3 linked regions of the Arabidopsis thaliana genome follow. The protein of the gene in region 1 interacts with the protein of each later gene in a pairwise test. Each region holds a gene or a part of one and is shown in the gene's direction. Other genes may lie near its edges.

Region 1 (4,760 bases):
TCGTCTTGTTGTAATCTGTCAACCAACAAACATATGCTGACAAGTTAAATTTTTGATGCATTGGCCAAACTTCCATCACAATACTTTATGTAAGCCCACACAAAGGAAGAACAATTCAATAGATCATAAATTTTACCACAATGAAAATGCATTCACTCAAGTTTAAGTATTGAAACAATGGAGACCCAACAGCGCCAATGTTGGACACAAAGCCAAGGGAAAACATAGATCAGACCTCTACATGAGTCGTCATAGGTTACATAAACGGATATATTGGGATTTTGGAGCTCGGGTCAAATTACTAATATGTTTATGCTAAAGTGCATTTGGATGGAATAAGTCCTTGCTGCAGTCAATGCATATTTATGTACACTATCAACATGAAATAGAAAATGGTAGATATTTTATTTGGTAGCAAAGATTGGCCAACCGTTTCAAAGTGAACTAAATATGCAACAAATTACTAGAAGAAAACTGAATGAAAATGATGAGAATAAGAAAATCCTGCTTACCGCGGTGATGGGAACCTGTTCGAATCTTCAACTCCTCAAATGGAGGAGGGCCATCACCAGCTTTGCTTTCCTGAGATCGAGCCAAACTAGCGTATTTTTTCTTCATCTGCCATTCTTCAGTGAGTGATTGCACATAACCGCCCAAGACAGTCACCTCTTTTGGAGTCAAACATACTAGACCATCACGTATCACAGCCTTATTTTCTAGACGTACCTGCCAACGAGACAGTACAAAATATCAACAATACAAAATGATTTATGATTTGCATATGACACCCTCTGATGCATGACAAACACATATGTGCACTAGCTTTCTATTGATTTAGATCTTAATCCAAACTATTATATTTGCATGAGACTTTCAGAAACATAGTAAAGGAGAATTTGAATTAGATTGATATGGAAATGGAACTACCTTAGTACCAGGAGTGACATCATTGTTAATCGTTGGTATATGAGAGTACTCAAGCGCGGATATTTCGGTCTTCCCGTCAGTCAGAGCGAATTTTAGCACTCGTTTACCAGTGGAACTTCCCACAAATTCCTCTGCGCTACTTCTTGTAACATCCCTAACATAACTTATCTATGCTCACAAAAGAAAACAAATTAACACTCAACAGCTTGAATCAACTGCAACAATTGAGCATTCTGAAACTAGTTTAAATCTAAGTATATCAGTGAGAGTGACTCATTGAATTAGCGAAGACCTAATGCCAATTGTTACTGACTTTAGCTGATTGAAGCAATGTACCTGGAGAACTTTGGGGCCTTGAAGATGAGAACACCTGCGTAACTCGGTCGGGTCCGGGAGGGATTTACCTCCGATTAACTTAATATCCATGTTAAGCAGCTCCGCCTCCACTGACTCCACGATGGCGCCTGTTTTATTGCCGCCGCCGATCAAGGAAGAGATTTCAGTGACCAGGGATTTCAAGTATTCGACGTCTCTGAAGCACCAGCCCCGACTAGTTAGGGCATTTATCACGACGGTGTGGGTGTGGTCGCCGGCGGAGGAGCTTGATGTTCCCACCATTGCGTTGATGCTCTTGTCGCGCTAAACCAATTGGGGAAGACGAGATTTTAATTTGGAGAATTGATTTTGTTATGGTCAATATCGAGTTAAACTAATTACTATTCACTAATGATACTTTTTGCATAAAATCGTTTTGATCAATAAAGAAGAACATTTTTAACAGAAAAACTAGAAAAGTAATTCGAAAAAGTCCTATAAAAAAGGTATTTTCCGGTTTCGTTTTAGTGGGCCTAATGGCCCATATGTAACACGAAGATTTCTGACAGTACGACTTCTAAAGTACTTTGCTTTCCTTGTTGAATTCCGACCAAAGTCGATAAAGAGTTATGACGATGGACGATGGTAACTCCGTCTACGTCGGCGGCCTCCCTTACGACATCACCGAGGAGGCTGTCCGTCGCGTCTTCTCCATTTACGGCTCCGTCCTCACCGTTAAGGTTAATTTTCTCTTTTCAATATCCTGATTTAAGTTTCTTAATTAGGATGATTCAAATTCGTTTCGTGATTTTGAAGTTCCAATCTTATTGTATGATCTTATAGATGATAAGCTTTAGTAGATATCTATGTAGAAAGACTGACCAAGTGATTTAGATAACATCCAATTGCTAGTTGATATATCTTACATGTGAGCTGGTCAGAGTGTATATTGACATATATGTGTACTATTTGAGAATTCAGATTGTCAATGACCGGAGTGTAAGAGGGAAATGCTATGGCTTTGTTACATTTTCGAACCGTCGATCGGCTGATGATGCTATCGAAGATATGGATGGAAAAGTATGGTTCTACTGCTAAAGTTTTGTTCTTTTGTTTATATTATCATGTACGTGGTGTGTTTATATTGTTGACGGTATTGAGCTCGTAATCAGAGTATTGGTGGGCGTGCAGTGCGTGTGAATGATGTGACAACAAGAGGTGGAAGAATGAATCCAGGTCCGGGGCGGTTACAACCACACGGTGGTTGGGATAGAAGTCCTGATAGGAGAAGTGATGGTAATTATGAGAGGGATCGGTATAGTGATAGGTCTCGAGAACGGGATAGGTCTCAGGATAGGAGAAAAGATCATCGCTACATAGAGAAGGAAAGAGCTTATGAGCATTCACATGATTTTGAGAGGAGGAATGATCATGATATGGTAGATAGAAATGGTTATAAGGAAAGAGTTTTCGATGGTGATGAAGGAGATTGGCGTGGGGATAGGTCTTATGTGGATAATGGTAGGGGAATAAATGGGACCAGTGCTCACGAAGGAAGGAGCCAAGAAACAAAGAGAGAAGATAGGTAAACTTTTGTTGAAAACAATGCAGTTGTAGACTTCACATTGGATTTCAAACTTTTAGTGTTCCTCCTGTTTCTTTGAATTGTGACATTCGTTGTTCTTGTAAAATTGGTCTGCTAGTTTGAATGAGTCAAAGACTGGGATGCTAGTCTTAGTCACGCCGCTAAACCAAATCATCCACACCTGTTGTGGTTAAGTTTGATAAATTATCATCGATTTTAGTGTAATGGATTTGAGGAAGTTTCTTGCTCTTGTTGGCTTTGTGCATGTTACCGTTTGAGGAATGTTTTGGCTTGCTTTGGTTTTGTTAACATGTCTAAATCTTTGTGTGTTCTTGTTGGATTGACAGTACCATTCTTGATGGTGGACGTGGCAGAGATCACTTCTCTAATTCAAGTGGAGATCATCAGGTAAAGATGATTTTCTTAGCCATGCAGTGTTTGCATAAATTCATTTTATAACTTGCAACTTCTATTACAGGTGAAAGAAGATCTGGAAGCGCTGATTAAGATGCGTGAGGCGCTTCGAGATGAGGTATGAGGTAGTTTATCTGTGCATATAGGCTGTTGGTAGATTTATTTTACATAATCACGAGTGATCCAATGAATTTATGGGCTACTTTCATTTTTAAGGTGATGGTGATGGAAGAGAGACTGGAAGTAAAAGAAGTAGTGTGCTCAGAGCTACAGAAGAAATCTAAGGTATGTGTCTTCTATATCTTACAACCCCAAAATGTTTGACTACAGATTTGTTCTCATTTGAAATGGTTAAGACAGAGATTAGAAGATTTGTTGATCAATGAAAAGAAACTGGTTTCACAACGCCGAAAAGAATTGGCAAAGGTAAGCATAGGTTCGATTCCTGTTCTAAAAGTCGGTTTTGTTAGGTAATGTTTGTTGACATTTGGTCTATGTTTGTGGTAGCTACATAAATCATATTCAAGGGTTAGAGAGTGCACGGACAACCTGAAAGACTGTGAACAAGAACTCCAGGTTAGTTTCTAAATTTTCTTATTCTAGTGATTGTCATTGCATAAAGATTAGGCCTAATCGAAACAAGTGTCTATTCTTTTCTCGCAGTTGCTTGTTAATTCAGCAGCTAGAGAAGGCGTGGCAGGTGCTGATGAAGGATTGGGACACGGGTATCCGTAACACGGTCACCCGCATGTATGATCTGTTTTGTCTAAAGTGTAGCTTTGATATGTCTTCTCTTTGTGACTTTCCGAGTTTTTTTCTAGTCGAGCTACACTAATTTGGTACATATTTACTTGTTTTGGCAAGTATGTATTCATTTCATTCGGGATGTATTATTATCATACGAACATGAACTAAATAATTATGTTTTCAACTTGCAACTGAAACCAAACAATCACCATACAAAGTGTGGAAGTAAAGTCTCAAAGCTTTGTTAGAGAAGAAGTCCTAGATAGTACTTGGCTATAGTTAAAATATTTTAGTAGATGAAGTTGACAAATTAACTATTTCTTTTTGTAATGTTTGCTTTGTTCTTTACTAATATAAAGATACTTGGCTACAGTGAAAATGTTATAAAAAGAGAGAAAAGAATAGACAGTTAAATTATTAAGGTTGACACAACCATCATCTCCACCGTCCATTACTCGTCAGCCGAATGTTTTTTATTTGATTAAGATGTGAACATCATCCATTGACCTATCGTTGCTTGTAAAGCCAAGTTAGCCAACCAACACTCAAATCATCATTATACGTGACGATCTTAAGAACAACCCCATTTAGGATACTCTATATGTTTGTCTTCTCATATAAATTTCATTATAGTAATATTAAGGCATTATCCATTATTCATATATATTCTTCAAGGCATGTTTCGTACATCTTATAGCAAACCAGTAGCAGTAAATAGCATAAGCAAATGTGTTCTTCTTGTCGCATGGCTCTAGTGGAATTCCACGTTTCT
Region 2 (4,641 bases), on another chromosome or scaffold:
GGTGAAACAAAACTGTCATTATCTCGGAGCAATCGCTCGGTATGTTGTTCATTGAGTGAAGAACCAAAAGACCAATGGTAAAATTTGCAATCTTGAGAGATAATTTTTTTTCCTTTTTTTGGTTTGATTCTGGAGATAAAGCTTGGTCTTTTAATTGCAGCTTGAGTCGGAGAAGTCTTGTTTATGTTTTAGTTGCTTCGCCGTGTTTGTTGTTACCAGCGTTGTCTTCATCTGCGAAGACTAAATCAAAGAGTCCTTATGATGAGAGACGGTTACTAGAACAGAACAAGAGGATACAGAGAGAGAACAATGCTCCTGACGAGTTTCCTAACTTTGTTAGAGAAGGTTTAAGCTTTTATTCACTGTTTCTTTGAGTATTATTCATTCTTGAGTGGAAGAAGAATATGAGAACTTATTGTCCTTTTGTTTGTGTTTATGTTTTTGCTGATATAGTGCAGGTTTTGAGGTTAAGGTATTAGCTTCTGATAATTACATCAAGGCTGATTCTGGCCTCATATATCGGGATTTCAATGTTGGTCAAGGTGATTTCCCAAAAGATGGTCAGCAGGTACTACTTCCTCTATGTTAGATTAGTTAAACTTAGGATCTGAAGTTAGATCATTTATGGAATTGGTATGCTCTTTACTTGGATATATAGAATTGAAGATATCATTGAGTTTTATGGTTATTTTGACAGGTGACTTTTCACTACATTGGCTACAATGAGTCTGGAAGGCGAATAGATAGTACTTACATACAAGGTTCTCCTGCTAGAATCCGCATGGGAACCAATGCACTTGTTCCAGGCAAGTAGAAGACATTAACTTGGCTCTTTAGTAGTAGGATGTTAATGAAGAATCTTCTTTGACAGGAAACACATATTGAAGATTTTTAATACTATATGGATAATGATGATGCAGGATTTGAAATGGGAATTCGTGACATGAAGCCCGGTGGGCGAAGAAGGATTATAATCCCTCCAGAATTGGGACCTCCGGTTAGTGTTCTTACTTGTTCCTTACAAGTATACACTTGTCTGAACTGTAAACCTGACTAGTGGTAAACTTTTGCTGAGCCATTCCGTTGAATATACCATCCCTCTATCAACAATGTTTCAAATGGAATTACTAGCTTGAGCATGCTCGTTTAGGGACATATCTAAACCAATGTAGATTAGACTTGTACTGTGTAAAAACTGTCTTCACTTTGGTTCGATCATATTTTTGACAAAACAAAGTTCATTGGGCTCTAACCAGGTGGGACCTTCGACCTTCTTCAGCTCGAAGCAATTTGAAGTTTTCGACGTGGAGTTGCTCAGTATCCAGAATTGTGAGAGGAGGACTATAATAGGTTTCTACTCAGATGTCACATGCAGTTAACTTCCAAATGATGGTCATCACTAAGCTTCAATGAACCTGCATTCTTCAATCTTCAATACTCTAAATCTGCACGGCAGATGAGAACTACAAAGAAACAAAAAGAACAATTATTCTTTGCTTAGGCATTTATCTTGTGGGTTTCATGTAGAGATGCACAATTACATAGAGAGACAGATAAAGATCATGTAAAGTCTCGACCTTTTTCATAATCGTAGTTTACTTTTGTTGCTTTGTTGATCACGTTTTAAGCGTTTGGAGCTTTTTGATATCTTCTGTCTCTCTGTATCTGTGCGTTTGTCAAGTTAAAGCAATGCATTGTTTCGTTAGTTTTATAATTTCTACCCCAAATTTTGGCACTCTTTATGAAACACCCCAAACAAATAATAAATTGTACAAAGATACATTGAAATTTGGAACGGTAGATGTGCAATGCTCATCACATTTGGAAAGTTAATTACGAAATTTTCATCTAAAGACGTTAAGACATTTTATGTGTGGAAACTATAATTTGCAAGTAAAGCAACTAAAACGATAAAAAGGGTAAATGAGTAATTGCGACGTATCCACTAAACCCTTAGTCTCAGCTAGAAGGTTCGGTTTGAGTTTTCTTTATCCCCAAAAAACCCTAAACTCTTCTTCTCGCCGACTTCTCTACTCCTTTCCAGAAACCAAGTTTCAGGTCATCGGTGAAATTTGTTGTGTTCCCGGCGACTTCTACTTTTCACCTTTCTTCTCGGCGTCGTCTAATTTCTAGGGTTCCCCTGTATTTCACGTGAGAATCTTTGGCTTCTTTTTTTCTTTCGTTTCGTCTGTTCGAATGCATAGTTAGGTTTAGACTTGAGAATGTTGCATTGTTGGATTAGATTCATACTTCAGATTAGGGTTTCAGTTTCAATTCGTTAAGTTGATGAGCTCGAGTAGCTTAAGATCATCTTTAAGCTCTCTTAATTCTAAACAGTTTTGTGACTGAAATTGCAGCGTCAAGAGCAAATCCAACATGTCGTCGCTGCGTAATGCTATTCCACGGCCTGCTCATAAGGAGCGATCTCAACCGTAAGCTATTATTGCTCTCAGGTGTCCTTTTTGTTCTTTTCTTCGTTTCTCTTCTTAAAGTTTGGATTTTTAAACGTATCATCAGGGAAGCGAGGAAGAGGTTTGGCATCCTCGAGAAGCATAAGGATTATATTATCCGAGCTAATGCTTATCACAAAAAGCAGGAAACTTTAAAGGTAACTATTACACTCTCTGTTTTCAATTCCATCTCTCCTATGATTATACTGTCGAGATTATGTTAATAAAGTCTTTCAAGTAGACATTTGTTAGTTTACGGGATTGATTGATGATATCTGTGAGATAGCTAAGAAACTAAATCGTTGGGAGTTCAGTTTCTCTTACACCGTTTTACTTTACTGCAGATACTTAGGCAGAAGGCTGCATTCAAGAATCCAGATGAATTCAACTTTAAGATGATTAATAGTAAAACAGTTGATGGACGTCATAGACCAAAGTAAGCATATCGAAACTCTTCGTTTTCTTCTTTTTGCTTTTCACTATTATCTCTTTTGCTATTCTCATGGTTTCTCGTTTTCTTCTTGGTTTGTAAATTTTGACAAAGTTATTGTTTTCAGAGATGAGGTAAATAAATACTCTGCGGAAGAGCTTATGATTATGAAGACTCAAGATATTGGATATGTGTTCCAAAAATGGCAGAGTGAGAAAAACGTAAGTTATCTTTCCTCATACACACCCCAAGAGCTTTCTGCTTACGATCATATTTATCCAGTTTTTCTCTTTGTTCCTTCTTATCTTTTGTAGAAAATTGACAAGCTGACTGCATCGCTGCAATGTACTGGGGATCAGTCAAGCCGTAGACATGTTTACTATGCAGAAGACAGGTTAATCCCAACTTTTAGTCCTTTCTTTACTTGGTGTAGCTTTCGTGATTTTCTCATTCATTTTGAATGTGTCATATGGACACTGCAAAATTTGATCCTCCTTACCTTAACATTTAAAAGACATTACCGGTACCACATTGTTTGTGTTTTCTTATAATCTTCTTTTTTAACTCTGTTGTTCCTTTATCAGAGAGGAGGCTAGAGAACTGGAGGTACAAGGTAGAAGCAAAAGTGATATCTCTACAGTAGAGATTCCGAAAGATATTAAAAAGTATGTATCTGAAATGAATTAGATGTTTTCAAAGGTATCAAACGGACAATCAATAGTCATTGTATTCTATTTTCTTAAAACAGGAAAATGGATAGGTCCTATAGAGACCTCGAGGGGCGGAAGAGCAGGGCTAAAGATTTGGAGAAGTTATACACGGATATGTCAATGCAGAAGGAGTTACAGGTTATCATCAGTCCCCCGAACACATTACTGTTTCTTGGTATGCAACTAGACCATCTCTGATTAAACTCTTTTAATGGACAGAAAAAGGGTCGCAAACGGAAGCTGCGTGATGACGAGCTGCTCAATCCAAATGGTAAAGCGGTATACAAATGGCGCGCCGATAGAAAACGCTGAAGAGAAAAGCTTTCATGGTTGTGTAGCTTGACATCATTTTTCTGATCTCTATTAAAGTTTATATAGCAGGCAGTTTTATTATAGTTTTTTTGATCTCCAGAACCTGCAGAACTTTACATACAATTTTGGATGGGACAATATCTGTTTACTTTAAGCTCTTTGTTGCGTATCTGGAAAAGTTTTACTAATGTGATTGACGAAATATAAACACATGAATCCAAAATAGAAGATTGAAGACTTCAAAATTTTACCACTAAGATAAAGTTCGGTATACACAAAAAGACTGTTTGTAAATAGCAAATAATGGGCCCTTTTCTTTCTGATTGGCTTTTACCAAAAATACGCAAATCTTACTCAGCTTTTAAATTTTGGTTTTTGTTTAAGTTTTAGATTTTGTTACTTAAAAGACTCAAAAAATATTGGTTCAGCCTTTTTAATTTATTATTTATTTACTCTTATGTAAAGAGAGAAAGAAAACAAAAAGCAATGGGACTTTAAATGATTTGGTACAATTGCTGTTTTAGTACAAGTTTAAATTTGGAATCAAATCCTAACTTATAAAGAAAAACAGCCATCTTTGGCATATAACACAAATGCACTGGCTTATGATATTTGCTATTTCTACTAAAAAACAATTAGTCTTAAATAATTTCAGAAAACATTATAAAGTCATTTTAATTAAAGGCATAAGACACAAATGTTACCCCTATGTTTATGATATGCGTTATTAGTTCCAATT
Region 3 (6,205 bases), on another chromosome or scaffold:
GACTCCATAATGCTATTAATTTGGCACTAACTATGGTAAAAGTTGGAAATATAAAGTTTTAAAAGTAGTTTCGTGCTAACAGAAAAAATAAAGGTTTGATTGCAATATAAGTGTGGTTTGTTTCGTGTCTCTCCTCACCAGTGTTTACATGATCAACTTCATTTTCTTATGGTGTATCTTCATCTACTTCTTCAAAGACCCTCTTGTCTTGGTGTGTGACCTCGATTCCACAATCAAACTCTTTTGTTACATCTTCATCTTGTTTTGTGCCATGTTTTTGTTCACACATGATCTTTACTTCCTGATTCTCCACAACTTTCTCGATGCCACTGATCTTGTTTTGCTAGATTGTTAAGAACACACAAGTTTAAAGAATAACTCTCTTTATTAGCTTTAGAAAATCAACTTAAAACTAAAACAACTGACCTCTTCATCGACATCTTGCTTGATACTATCTTCTTGGTCATTGATCTTTTCTTCTTGATCCCTTGCATCTTGCTTGATGTCACCGTCTTGTCCAATGTTCTTTCCTTTTACATTCTTTGCCTTTTGTTGATCAACATCACTATCTGATTTTGTAACCGCCTCTTCATTGTCGTGATGTGCAACATCCGCGATGAGTTCTTGATCAGTTTCGCTAATGCTTTCAGTTTGAACCGATGATCTTGGAGGCGTAGAAATAATGACAGGTCGTCTGTTTGTCTGATGCCAAGCAAGGTGGGTCATAAAATCACTGCGGTTATGGATCTGCACAAATACCATATCCAATTAAATTTAAAAGAGTTAACTACAACATATTAGGAAAATCACAAAAGAATATGGACCATAATTACCAACCATTTGTGTGGGGTAATAATAACATGGGTTGTTGTTATACATGTAAATATATTGTCCCCAAACGTGATTCCTATATATTATGAAAATAAATATATAAGCAAAGAAATTAGATGAAAACAATATTCAAACTTTAGTTTAAAAACAAAATTGAATAAATATTACCAGGTGTGCGGAGGACAATATGGAATTACGTGTTGAGGAGCTTGCTGATATTGATGCGGCGGTATAACATAATTGAATGATCCTACAAATTTAAAGTTATGAAGAAGAAAAAGTTGTTTGAGAAAGTTTTGTTACACAAAATAAAATCATAAAACCAAGATTTAGAAAGAGAAATAAGGATATATAAACCGTTTAGGTTAGGGTGATTCATGTTTTGTTTTGCACCAGCACTAGCCAAATTGCAATTGGTTGTTCTTCCATCAATGATGGGTTTAGAATTTTGAAGAGCTCTAACTGTAGAGACATAGTCTCTAAAAGTAATCTGAAAATTCAATACAAATCAATCGTCTTCATTAAACCGGTATTAAATATGGAATCAAACCATACAGAGTACAAACAAAACGTGTTTCTAGGTCAGAGGAAATCTTCATATTTTTAAATATACACAAAGGTTTACTAATGAAGTTGAATTAAGGAAAAGAAAGGATACTTACAAAACCATAGCCTTTTGATCTGCCAGGATAAGTTTCAGAAACAACATTAGCATCAACCACTTGTCCGAATTGTTCAAAGTATCTTCTCAAATCATCTGCAGTTGTTCTCCATGTTAAATTCCCCACAAAAATCTTCGTAACCCTAGTATCATGATTATTAGTTTGAGACATCATAACCAATAAATAATCTCTTAAAAACCAATTTAGAGAAGAAACAGAAAGTTGCAGGGTTTAAGGGTTTGGAACTAATATATATATATATATATATATAATGAGATAAGAGTTGTTAAAAAATATATATCTATATATATCTATATATAAGGAGATAAGGAAATTAGTTTCCCAATAGAAAAAGAAATTAGGATATTATTAGATGGAATGCAATTTTATTTATTTATTATTTGTTTGTTTTTTAATCTTTTAAATTTTATTTATTTTTTTTTTTTGGGTCATCTCCTCTCTTATCTCTATGATGACTATACCGTTTATTTTCTTTTCCCACTCTGCTTAGGAAGAGAAGAGAGAAGAGAGAAGAGAAGATACTTGAGGAGATGTTGGCGAGAGCTCCACCGCCTTATTTTAATTTCCCGGCGAGGAATAATACTATCTGTAATCGGAATGAGATTGTGCGGTTGTTTCGTAACGGCGGAGGAGTGGTAGCTAGAGGAGCTGGTTTCACTCGGCGACCACTGGAAACTTCGAGCTCTTACGACGATTCCACCGATGACGGATTCGTTATCATCAGTGCGGCAGATAAGGAGAATGAGTTCGCTCCTCCGCCTTCTTCCGATTTACTCTCTTCGATTCCGTCAGGTAATTTTGGTTAGTTGCTAGCTTTTGTCTCCCTCCTCGAATTGTAGTACCTGTAGTGGATTTTGTAAAATTAGGTATTAGGAACTGTGTTCGTTATTATTATTGGTTTTAATGATTTATTTGGTGTTGTAGAATCTGCGAGAAGAAATGGTTCGCGTTCGAGAGGTCTGACTGCGAGTTTTGGAAGGTTAAAGGCCCAGAAAGTGAAAGCTCTTGTTGGGAAGGTAACGCAGAAGAAGCAGCATATGAGTCACAATGAGGAAGAAGACGAGGATGACGCCTCTGATGAGAATTATTCTGCGGATGAAGGGTTTGGTTCATCATCAATTCTGGATTTGATGAGGAAGAAGCTGGCTATGAAGGCTATTCCTAGATCAGGAAAATCTGCAGAGAGGAACGAGGTAAAAAGAGCTAGCAAAGTGCGGGAATCTAGAGAGTCAAGAAGAGATTTAGATAGATTGGAAGGAGATGATGAAGATGTTGATGAGGTTTCAAATCCTGACAGGTTTACTGATAATCAGAGAGCAGGGTCGCGGAGTTCATATTCAAAAGGTGGTTATGCTGCTAACTCCAGGGGTAAGGGTGATAGGCTTTCGGTTGCAAGAGATTTAGATTCATTTGAGGGACATGGTAGAGCTATTGATGAGGTTTCAAACCCTCGAAAGTTTAATGATAACGAGAGAGCAGAATCAAGGAGTTCATATTCAAGAGACTCTTCTGCTAACTCCAGGGGTAGAGAAGATAGGCGTTTTGTTGCCAAAGAGTTAGATACATTTCAGGGACGTGATAAAGCTTATGATGAGGTTTATAATCCTCGAAGGTTCACTGATAATGAGAGAGGACTCAGAGGAGGATCACATTCAAAAGGCTCTGATACTAACTCTCGGGGTTGGGGTGATAGGCGTTCTGTTGTATATACAAGAGATATGGATGATTGGAGAGAGAGGAATAAAACCAAGGATACTAGGGAGACTGGCTTTTTTAGCCGGAAAACTTTTGCAGAAATTGGATGTAGTGAAGATATGATGAAGGCCTTAAAGGAACAGAATTTTGATCGCCCGGCACATATTCAGGTTCAGACTTTATTTTCACACTTGATAAATCATCTAGGTGCATGTGTATGTATACAAATCTTCTTACTGTTATCGTGCTACCATTCTTGTTTGTTTGACGCAGGCTATGGCTTTTTCACCAGTTATTGATGGAAAGAGTTGTATCATAGCTGACCAAAGTGGATCAGGCAAGACACTGGCATATCTTGTCCCTGTTATTCAGCGTCTCAGGGAAGAAGAGCTTCAAGGACACAGCAAATCGTCTCCTGGGTGTCCTCGTGTCATTGTTCTGGTACCAACTGCAGAGTTGGCTTCTCAGGTTCATTTCTTTTTATATGTGAATGATCTTCCTAGGTTGATTCATTGGTTATTGATGTGAATGTATTTAGCTGAAGACAATTGTTTGGTACATATGAAATACTTGGCAGGTTCTTGCTAACTGTAGATCAATATCAAAGTCTGGGGTCCCGTTCCGTTCGATGGTAGTGACGGGTGGCTTCAGACAACGAACCCAGCTAGAAAATTTAGAGCAAGGTGTTGACGTTTTGATTGCAACACCAGGGCGTTTCACGTACCTAATGAACGAAGGAATTTTGGGGTTGTCAAATTTAAGATGGTACTTTAAATCTTTCAACAAAGCAAACTTTCCCCATTGATTTGACGAGATGAAAGACTTTCACCAACTTTTGTGTGAAAATTGATTGGGTACAATCTTGGTTACGTGTTTTGCAGTGCCATCTTGGATGAGGTGGATATACTCTTTGGCGACGATGAGTTTGAGGCAGCCCTGCAAAATTTGATAAACTCTTCTCCTGTTACTGCACAGTATCTATTTGTTACAGCAACCTTGCCACTTGAAATATACAACAAACTTGTTGAAGTTTTCCCTGATTGTGAAGTTGTAATGGGACCTCGAGTGCACCGTGTTAGTAATGCTCTCGAAGAGGTTGGTATTAACATAAGTGATTGGAAATATGTAATGGGATCAACAACAGTAGCAGAATTTTTGTTTTGCTAACTTGGTTGCTGAATAATCTTCTTTGACTCGTCCCTGACCAATGTTGAGTTGCACTGTGCAGTTTCTTGTTGACTGTAGTGGAGATGATAATGCAGAGAAAACTCCTGAGACTGCATTTCAGAACAAGAAAACTGCTCTCCTTCAGATAATGGAGGAAAACCCTGTTTCCAAAACTATTATCTTCTGCAATAAGGTACCATGGTCGCCAACCTACTGCTTTTCGCTACTACTTGAAACCTTTTTGGACATCTCAGTCTCATATCCACCCTTTTATATGCAGATTGAGACATGTAGGAAAGTTGAGAACATATTTAAGCGGGTTGATAGAAAGGAAAGACAGTTGCACGTCCTACCTTTTCATGCTGCACTCTCACAAGAGTCAAGGCTTACAAACATGCAAGAATTCACATCATCTCAGCCCGAAGAAAATTCACTGTTTCTGGTTTGCACTGATAGGTACCTCAATTTGGTTACTGTTATCGTTTTTTATGATGCTATATTGCCTGAACATTGAAGATGTTAATTTTTTGTTTCTTCCTTTTTCGTTCCGAAACAATTGCAGAGCCTCCCGTGGGATAGATTTCTCTGGTGTTGATCATGTGGTGCTCTTTGACTTCCCACGTGACCCCAGTGAATACGTGAGACGTGTAGGAAGAACAGCAAGAGGGGCTAGGGGAAAAGGAAAGGCTTTCATCTTTGTGGTGGGGAAGCAAGTAGGGTTGGCACGGAGGATAATTGAGCGAAATGAGAAAGGTCACCCAGTTCATGATGTCCCAAACGCTTACGAGTTCACAACCTAAGTAACTCTTCATCTTGACCTTCTTTTTATTACTGCAATCTGTGTGTTGAAAGTTTCACTCTGTTGTTAGTTAAAAGAAATACGTAGAGAAGCCAAGTCCAAATTTTGACCATTAGTCTGTTGTAATGTTGTTAATGACACTTAACCTCCAAGCTCATGGAGTCTTGCACTGAATTGATGCCCCAAATCAAGATCATAACCAATTAGGATATAAAGTTATCTAAAGGATATGGAAGATTTGGACATAAGCTTATCTTCTTCCTATCATGCGTACTGTAGAGGAGAAGCAGCTGGTTGCAAGCAAACACAGTCTGGGAATTTATTACTTGTCTCATTTTGTTAAAAAGATTCACATGGCGCCAATTTGCCAGTAGGTTGTGTATACGTACTTGTCGCATTGAGAAATAGACAAATGATCAAAGATTGGGTGGGAACTGGTGATGTATGTGAAAGGGAAATAAATCGTCATGATTTTGATTTGCAATAAAGATTTTGAAATGGCAGTTTATCAATCAAAATTAATACAATTCAGATTTTGAAGTTGCACTATCTGTAATCTGTATATAAATAGAAAATATCTTTGGATTGGCAAAAATACTTAAATGTCCAAATCAATTAAATTAATTCACAACAGATTTTGTTTGTGTGACAGAAAAATGAAAAATCCCCTATAAAAAGAGCTCATAAGAACATAAATTAAAGCAAAACGAATAGATTAGCTACAACGAAAATGAATTGCAAGATTGAATTCATGAGCTTCCTCGTGATGACTTCAATAGTCATCCTATTTCTCTTTGTTTCAGGTTAGTCTCTTCGTGTCTTAATAGCAAACTATGGGAAAATATTAATAATGTGTTACTCTATCTCAAGTCTTTTTTTTTTTTTTTGTATTTGGTGAAAAGCAGGGAAAGTTGAAGCTGAACCCCAATGCATTGGATCATGTGAAATGCTTGCTGACTGTAACACGGCTTGTATCAGGATGGGATACTTATTTGGCCAATGCGTTGGCTGGAAAACTCCCGATATGTGT

What was found. Proteins that work in one complex are often made in the same cells at the same time.
Region 2: the proteins of AT5G19960 (region 1) and EDA14 interact in a two-hybrid assay, tested with the Arabidopsis thaliana proteins (one large-scale study listed by BioGRID).
Region 3: the proteins of AT5G19960 (region 1) and AT3G06980 interact in a two-hybrid assay, tested with the Arabidopsis thaliana proteins (one large-scale study listed by BioGRID).

What each region holds. Positions count from the first base shown.
Region 1 is NC_003076.8:6,742,158-6,746,917, forward strand, and holds AT5G19960 (RNA-binding (RRM/RBD/RNP motifs) family protein), read left to right. Parts: upstream 1-1,720; 5' UTR 1,721-1,871; coding exon 1,872-1,982; intron 1,983-2,223; coding exon 2,224-2,322; intron 2,323-2,359; exon of another isoform or gene 2,360-2,414; coding exon 2,415-2,827; intron 2,828-3,174; coding exon 3,175-3,235; intron 3,236-3,305; coding exon 3,306-3,359; intron 3,360-3,457; coding exon 3,458-3,526; intron 3,527-3,601; coding exon 3,602-3,667; intron 3,668-3,748; coding exon 3,749-3,817; intron 3,818-3,904; coding exon 3,905-3,976; 3' UTR 3,977-4,224; downstream 4,225-4,760. Other genes in the region: AT5G19950 (tudor domain protein (DUF1767)), read right to left, coding at 1-15, 513-726, 928-1,095, 1,264-1,545.
Region 2 is NC_003074.8:22,311,738-22,316,378, reverse strand, and holds EDA14 (embryo sac development arrest 14), read left to right. Parts: upstream 1-1,951; 5' UTR 1,952-2,151; intron 2,152-2,357; 5' UTR 2,358-2,376; coding exon 2,377-2,432; intron 2,433-2,517; coding exon 2,518-2,608; intron 2,609-2,794; coding exon 2,795-2,886; intron 2,887-3,007; coding exon 3,008-3,101; intron 3,102-3,194; coding exon 3,195-3,274; intron 3,275-3,464; coding exon 3,465-3,545; intron 3,546-3,628; coding exon 3,629-3,728; intron 3,729-3,809; coding exon 3,810-3,902; 3' UTR 3,903-4,121; downstream 4,122-4,641. Other genes in the region: AT3G60370 (FKBP-like peptidyl-prolyl cis-trans isomerase family protein), read left to right, coding at 2-77, 161-345, 459-568, 698-806, 921-997, 1,257-1,379.
Region 3 is NC_003074.8:2,199,487-2,205,691, forward strand, and holds AT3G06980 (DEA(D/H)-box RNA helicase family protein), read left to right. Parts: upstream 1-1,945; 5' UTR 1,946-2,044; coding exon 2,045-2,306; intron 2,307-2,438; coding exon 2,439-3,379; intron 3,380-3,482; coding exon 3,483-3,677; intron 3,678-3,786; coding exon 3,787-3,974; intron 3,975-4,090; coding exon 4,091-4,304; intron 4,305-4,437; coding exon 4,438-4,569; intron 4,570-4,656; coding exon 4,657-4,832; intron 4,833-4,938; coding exon 4,939-5,176; 3' UTR 5,177-5,685; downstream 5,686-6,205. Other genes in the region: AT3G06970 (RNA-binding (RRM/RBD/RNP motifs) family protein), read right to left, coding at 167-343, 427-747, 838-907, 1,000-1,081, 1,189-1,321, 1,494-1,664; LCR44 (low-molecular-weight cysteine-rich 44), read left to right, coding at 5,906-5,978, 6,081-6,205. UniProt on the Arabidopsis thaliana protein: Probably involved in resistance to biotic and abiotic stresses.